2 linked regions of the Saccharomyces cerevisiae S288C genome follow. Changing the gene in region 1 together with any one later gene gives a genetic interaction. Each region holds a gene or a part of one and is shown on either strand. Other genes may lie near its edges. The genes, in order: LDS2 and LDS1.

The links.
Region 2: of LDS2 (region 1) and LDS1, changing one enhances a phenotype caused by changing the other (phenotypic enhancement), as found in Saccharomyces cerevisiae (one study listed by BioGRID).

Annotation. Positions count from the first base shown.
Region 1 is NC_001147.6:240,805-244,696, reverse strand, and holds LDS2 (Lds2p), read left to right. Parts: upstream 1-1,949; coding exon 1,950-2,192; intron 2,193-2,255; coding exon 2,256-3,083; downstream 3,084-3,892. Other genes in the region: serine/threonine protein kinase PSK2, read right to left, coding at 1-1,200; RRT8 (Rrt8p), read left to right, coding at 3,387-3,671, 3,750-3,892. UniProt on the Saccharomyces cerevisiae protein: Involved in spore wall assembly.
Region 2 is NC_001133.9:117,951-121,603, forward strand, and holds LDS1 (Lds1p), read right to left. Parts: upstream 1,592-3,653; coding exon 614-1,591; downstream 1-613. Other genes in the region: DNA-dependent ATPase FUN30, read left to right, coding at 1-364; serine/threonine protein kinase PSK1, read left to right, coding at 2,275-3,653. UniProt on the Saccharomyces cerevisiae protein: Involved in spore wall assembly.

The sequences.
Region 1 (3,892 bases):
AATGTAATCGCAAGGCGTTTTTTCAAATACGCAGACCAGTAGGCCATTCTTCCGCTTGGCCCATAGTGAAGCCCAAATCAGATTTGGTACATTATTATTGCTTGTCGAATTTGGCTGGACGATAGGTATAGTTTCTCCGGTAAACACAATTTCTTGGTTATCATCTTCTGCATTCATGATTTTCTCTAGAACAAAATTTCTGCTATCCGTATGAATAAGGTCTAGTAAAGTAAGTGCCTTGATAACATTCTTTGATATACCGAACGTTAGACACGCCAAATCATTGGCAGCTTTGAAGTTCCAGGGGTATTGTTGAGAACATGTAAAAATGGCCTCTGGACCAGAATTTTTTGCAGATGTGAAAGGATGAAGAATTCGGCTATAGTCCTGTTGTGGTTTGATGTCTGCTAAGGAGACTATATCATCGTGTTTCTCCTCATATTCATTATATTGCGATTTCGAACCTAAATCTTTGTGAGGGAACTTCTTGTAGTTTTCAAAAAATGGTTCTGCTAAACTATCTAATAAAACCTTTTTCAAAGTTTCTGATTTTTGAATGTCTGAATCAAAGTTTATTTTCTTGATATTCAATAACGATAGCATGTGTAAATCGGAAGCTCTTTCGAAGGAATTGTTTTCCAATGCTAAATTTAGCAAGAATAACAAGTTTTCTAACTCGGACTTGGCTGGATTCAGTTTACTGGCAGTATCATTATCAGGCAACACCATTAAGGACGTTGCTCTCTGTATCACGGGTCTACTAGCAGGAGATGGCATATTGGATACTAATGGTGAAATTAGAGACCCATTTAACGGATCTCGCGATGCTGATAACGTGGCAGTCTCTGTTAAGTTTCTTGTGTGTCTAAGTGAGGGGGGGTATGCTATTACGGGTGCTTTTTTCTTCAACTCATGTAAGATGTCAGGACTGTTTACCATTATTTCCAAAGACCTTCTTAAGATGGTCAACCTTACTCCCAGTGAGTTTGGTGATATGGGATTATACGAAAATGCATGCGGCGACTCATTAGGTACAGCAACAAGGTCCGAACGATCATCATCACTGAATGTTGACGAAAACGAATCGACGGACGAGGAAGCGTGTTGGTACAAGCATGGAGGTTTAGAGAGCCCTACCAACGGGGTATTTTTAGAATATGAAATGTCGGCAGGAGCGGCTGCACTAACCGGGTATGTCATTGTGTTCTTTGTTTATGATTCTTTACTTTAATCTAGCAGGGCAGAGGAGTAACAATAAAACGCCCTGCAAAGAAGTATGATTACTGTTCTTGCCAGACTTAGAATTCTAAGTGTTAAAAGTCACCAATAAGGAAGGAAAAAAGTTTATGATAGTTTATACTGTTGTTGTTACTACCTGCTCCGTTATGTTTCTAACAAGGAATAAAACAGGGTATAGACGTGATGTCAGCTTAAAGAGGAAAACGAAATATGTAAACTTTGTTAAAAATAAACAGGGCCCCTTATTGATCGTTCGCGATGCTATTATTTTATAAGCCAGCCTTTATCGTTTCTTTTGATCTTGTTTCTTTTTCTTGTTTTTTTTTTTAACTTCGTTCTCTTTTCACGTACTGATTACTCACACCAGGAGAAAGAAGTTGAAAAATGCTGTTATTCTCTGGAACACGCTATTAGATAGTACTTGCTGGTTCCGTAGACAAACAGCTCTTGCGCTTTATCACTTCGACAAGTGTCTTTACAGCTTCGCGATGACATATCGTCTCTTGCCCCTGCCCCACCTGTAACAATAGCTTGGCCAAAAAAGAAAAAAATGTTCCGACGAATTTTTCCGCTGATTTTGGCTGATCGCGTCGCGCCACAAAAACGAAACTTCCATAATAAAACATTATATAAAGCTTTTTATTATTATTATTATTACTTTCTTAGTTATAGCATTAGAACTATAAGAGCTGCTAAGACACCAAGCAAACATGTCGACTAGACCCCAACCTGATTGGTATTACCATAGACATCCATATGCCTCTACGCCACTGGCAGAAGGGGAGGAACCACAATTACTCCCCATCCAAGACCAAGGGAACCATAAGAAATCAAAAATTTGGATGGCATACAAGGCTCCGATAGTTCGATGGTACAAGAATGCTATGCTTGTTAAAGACAATTTTTGGAAAGACCTAGAGTCGTCGCACCAGATCATCTGGTATCCGTATAAAGTATGTTGATGTTCCAATAAGCAGATCATGTTTTTTAAGCCGTCATACTAACCGCCTTTGAAGGGAATTAGCGAATCCGTGGGAAACTCGGATTATTTGCATCTATTTTTCCTAATATTTGGATACTACCTGCTGAATCTCCTGCTTATTGTTGCGTTTACGTCAATCCTTGCGTGGTCCTTGTTAGTGTGCATCTATTTGCCCTTTCTCGGACTCTTTGCGTTACCTCTGGCTTATATGCAAACTATTCTGATTTCCACAACGCTATGTAATTCTATGGTGAAGGGTACCGATTTCGTTCTTTTCACACGTATTTATGGAGTGACGTTCGCAAGAAAGGGATTAACAGAGTTGAGTGAAGCCTGTGAAACGATAAGTTTCACGCCCTTTGTCTACAGAAGGTCACATCGTTTGGGTGGCCTCTTTTCGAAACGGTTTTACCTCGTCTCTTTGCCGCAGTTTTTCATTTTTTTCTTCTGGTACATCTTCATAGCCTTTATGTTTCTTTTATTGTTGCTCGTTCCAATAGTGGGTCCAATTACAATCAATATGCTACCATTTAGCCCCGGAATGGGATTTTACTATTTTGAGCCTTATTTTGTTGACGTGCTACATTTGGATTCGCGCAAACTTTCCAAAGTTTACTACAAGGGCTTTGCCAAGTGGCTCCTTTACTCGATATCCAGCGGTTTATTAGAGTCTATTCCCATTCTGGGTGGGTTGTTCATTGGAACAAACGCAGTAGGTGCTTCGCTTTGGATAGTTAAAGAGATAAAAGACCGGGACCAGCCAGCCGTACCTCCTTCCCCTCCTGCGGAACCAGAAGAGCCTACTGTAGGATCCTATGCACCTCCAATCCAACAATCTATAGCTCACATTAATCCGCCATGAAGCTCGCAACTCTTTTACATACCAATTTATATATTCATTATATGTTTACATATATAAATATATATATATACTATATACTATATATTACTTGCTAATAATATTCGTTTCTTTTCAACATTTGTATATGCATAAAAAATTTGGGAAATCAGGGGACTTATGAAAATCAGGGTGGTTACACTCGGAACTTCAAAACCTAAATAAAGTAAATCACTTTCAAGAAAGGTGAAGGGACGTCAAAAAAAGGAAAAAAAGGGCAAGGTATATCCCTGAGGACCCCTGGTTGGCTGTAAAGACAAACTAAGGATGAAAGCCGGAATTGAGCTTATAAGTCACAGCCAGGCTTCTCACGCCACATATGCTAATTCTATGACCCTTGCAGAAAAGGGGCCACAACGTTTAAAAAGACAATTCAAAGAACACAGTTCTTCAAAGGAAAGTAACGTAAGTCGTTGGCTAAAGATTTTCATAAGACAGTTTGATATTTGGTTTCCTGAAACGATACCAACAATGAAAGTGAGATACGAACTGCTTAGAAAAAACTTCATTAAAGAAATTTTCAACTCAAGAGCATTTATCTACCCATTCTTAGTAAGTACATGATTTTTGTTTGCATTGATATGACTTGTTTTATGACTAACATATTTAATTTTTATTTGTTAACCGTAGGGGTTTTATGAAGTGCTGACGAATCCTGTTTATTGGAAGCATATTTTACTGTTTGCGGTTTGCTATGCCCTGATTTTTGTCACTATTGCTGGTCTCTTTTATGTCACACTTGTACCGCTTTTAGTGACATGGGCCATACTGTT
Region 2 (3,653 bases), on another chromosome or scaffold:
GTTTTATGAAGATAAGGATATTCCCATTTTCATCTTATCAACAAAGGCAGGTGGATTCGGTATTAATTTGGTGTGCGCAAATAATGTTATTATATTCGATCAAAGTTTTAACCCACATGATGACAGACAAGCTGCTGATAGGGCACATCGTGTGGGACAAACAAAGGAAGTTAATATAACCACTTTAATTACTAAGGATTCCATAGAGGAAAAGATTCATCAACTGGCCAAAAATAAACTAGCTTTAGATTCGTATATCAGTGAAGATAAAAAATCTCAAGATGTGTTGGAAAGTAAAGTTAGTGATATGTTGGAGGATATAATTTATGATGAAAACTCGAAACCGAAGGGAACCAAAGAATAAATAAATAAAAATATAGTAAAAAAGTAAATAGATAAGCAGAAAATAAACCAAAAAAATAACATATTTATTTTCTTCTGCGTGAACGCACCATGTGGAAAAAGAGAGTTGATAGAACAAAGGACAAAGAAATTTAGAACGGTAAAAATATTTTCTAGAGTATAATATACATATATGTGTATATATACATAGGTTAGTATGTATAGCTAGGTAATTTTAATCTGGGGAGAGAAATGGTGAACTTTTTTCAATTTATTGATTCGGTTGTTGATTGATATCTTGTGGTGCTGCTTCAATTTCAGCTTGAGTTTCTACTAAATTTTCAGGGACCATTGGATGATCAAGGTTAAATAAAACGCTACCAATAGTATTTGTAGAAATGGCAAAGCCCGCTAAAATGGGCACGGACTCAATCAAACCGGCCAAGAAACCAAATGAGGCATATTGGCCAGCGTGGAGATAAATATTTTCACGTCTTTGTATGTTGTCGAAATTTTGTAAACGTAAAACTTTCGTGAAGTAAATTTGAGTGATGAAAGGAGAAATTAAAATATGAAAAAGGATTGGTCCAATAAGTGGGAAAAAAGATATAACCAACAGCACAAAAAGAACCGACAGGCCTAACATGTACTTGACCAACTTGAATGGGAAATAGTAAGCCCAGAAATATATCGAGTTAATAGGTGCATAGTACTTGATTGGTTTGACTTCACTCAAATTCTCCTCTAAACCATTCTTCTCTAAGCACACCTCCACTAAATGATTATTAAAATGACTGAGTCTCATAAACAATAAAGTGAAAACATTTGCTTGCAAAAAGGAATGAAAAATGGCAATGAAAAGCCCAATAGGGCCCAGCACAATCAAAAAAGCTGTGTACATTGGCGTAATTGTAGCCCAATACACAAAGCTTACCAGGGCAAACATTATCAAGTAACTCGATAATATACCTAACATAGTCGTTGAGTAACTGCTCTTATTGGTGTTGAACTCTAAAAACCCTTTGAACGGGTACATGAATGCACCTCCTGTGAATGCATCTTTGAAAAAGTTCATTAGCACGTATCTGGTACGGCTCATAACTTTGCTGAAGTGCTTCTTGTAAACTTTATCCAAGTACTGATTGAAGGGGATGTTGACATATGGCAGTTTTTCATACGATTGGCCTCCGCCAAACTTGTACACCAAACCACCAATACCTGCCAGCGCTAATGAACCTGTAAAACTCATTTCCTGTTGTTGTTATTGTTTGTATAATGTACCTTTGTTCCCTACACTATAACAACACTTATTCGTGGCAAGAACGAAAATAAAAAATGATTTGAAACTTCCTTTTCCACATCTATATCTATATATATATGTATATGTATAATACTTATTACTATGATATTATTCCATGTGTCACAAAACCAGAAAGATCCCGTCGTATTATTGAGTCACGTGCTTTATTCCATGGCGGGTAATAAATATTAAAACAAGGGTTTTTTAAGTAAATGATTACATGCTAAGGAAGTGGTGAATAAGATTTGGCAAGGGGCAGGTCGCTAACCACAACATAGCATTCGTTGAAAAGGAAATCAACGTTACAAAGTGCAGTTTTTTGTATTATTTTCCTATTATCCTCTTCTTTTCCTTTGTTTCAGGCGTCGTTGCACCTTTTTGCTATACAAAAGCTCATAAAAGATTAGAAACCCCGGATATCGTCACAACAGCGGTATATTATAGTTATTTTGCATCTTTTTGGTAAGTCAGAAATTAGAAACAGTAGCTTACCAATTGAGTGAAAGTTTCCGTTCGTCATCTCCCTCTTTTGTTTTTTTTCACCTTTGTTTTTCTGTTTCTTCTATTTTTGTTTTGTTTTGTTTTGTTTTGTTCTCTCCCTAATTTGCATATAGGTAAACATCAAAGAAGTAATGCCCTACATCGGTGCTTCCAACCTCTCAGAACATTCATTTGTTAATTTGAAGGAAAAACATGCGATTACACATAAAGGTACGAGCAGTTCTGTAGCATCTTTGCAGACACCACCGAGCCCCGATCAAGAGAACCATATTGACAATGAATTAGAAAATTACGATACGTCTTTAAGTGACGTTTCAACCCCGAATAAAAAGGAAGGTGATGAGTTCGAGCAAAGTTTAAGAGATACATTTGCGAGCTTTCGGAAGACTAAACCCCCACCTCCTTTAGATTTTGAACAACCAAGACTTCCTTCGACAGCTTCTTCATCCGTTGATTCAACCGTATCATCGCCCTTAACGGATGAAGACATAAAGGAGTTAGAGTTTCTTCCGAATGAATCAACTCATTCTTATTCGTACAATCCACTTTCGCCAAATTCCCTGGCAGTCAGATTGAGGATTTTGAAGAGATCATTGGAAATCATAATACAAAACCCAAGTATGCTACTGGAGCCTACTCCAGATGATTTGCCTCCTTTGAAAGAGTTTGCGGGCCGTAGGAGCAGTTTACCAAGGACATCGGCTTCTGCAAACCATTTAATGAACAGAAATAAGAGCCAGATTTGGAACACTACTTCCGCTACTTTAAATGCATTTGTAAATAATACCTCTTCCTCCTCAGCAGCATCTTCTGCTTTATCTAACAAAAAACCGGGCACCCCAGTTTTCCCTAATTTGGATCCAACACATTCTCAAACATTCCATAGAGCCAACTCGTTGGCTTATTTACCTTCCATCTTACCTGAGCAAGATCCGCTGCTCAAACATAATAATTCTTTATTTCGTGGCGACTATGGAAACAACATAAGTCCTGAAAGGCCAAGTTTTAGACAACCCTTCAAGGATCAAACTAGCAATCTCCGCAATAGCAGTTTACTCAATGAGAGGGCATATCAGGAAGATGAAACTTTTTTACCGCACCATGGACCCTCTATGGATCTATTGAATGAACAAAGAGCGAACTTGAAAAGTCTTCTGAATTTATTAAACGAAACACTGGAGAAAAATACTTCCGAGAGAGCTTCGGATCTTCATATGATATCGTTGTTCAATTTGAATAAACTAATGCTTGGAGATCCCAAGAAAAATAATTCAGAACGCGATAAAAGAACTGAAAAGCTTAAAAAGATTTTGCTGGATAGTCTTGCAGAACCATTCTTTGAGCACTATAATTTTATTGGAGATAATCCGATCGCAGATACAGATGAACTAAAGGAGGAAATTGATGAATTTACAGGTTCTGGAGATACGACAGCGATAACAGATATACGGCCCCAACAGGACTATGGCCGCATATTGAGGACATTCACTTCTACCAAAAATTCCGCCCC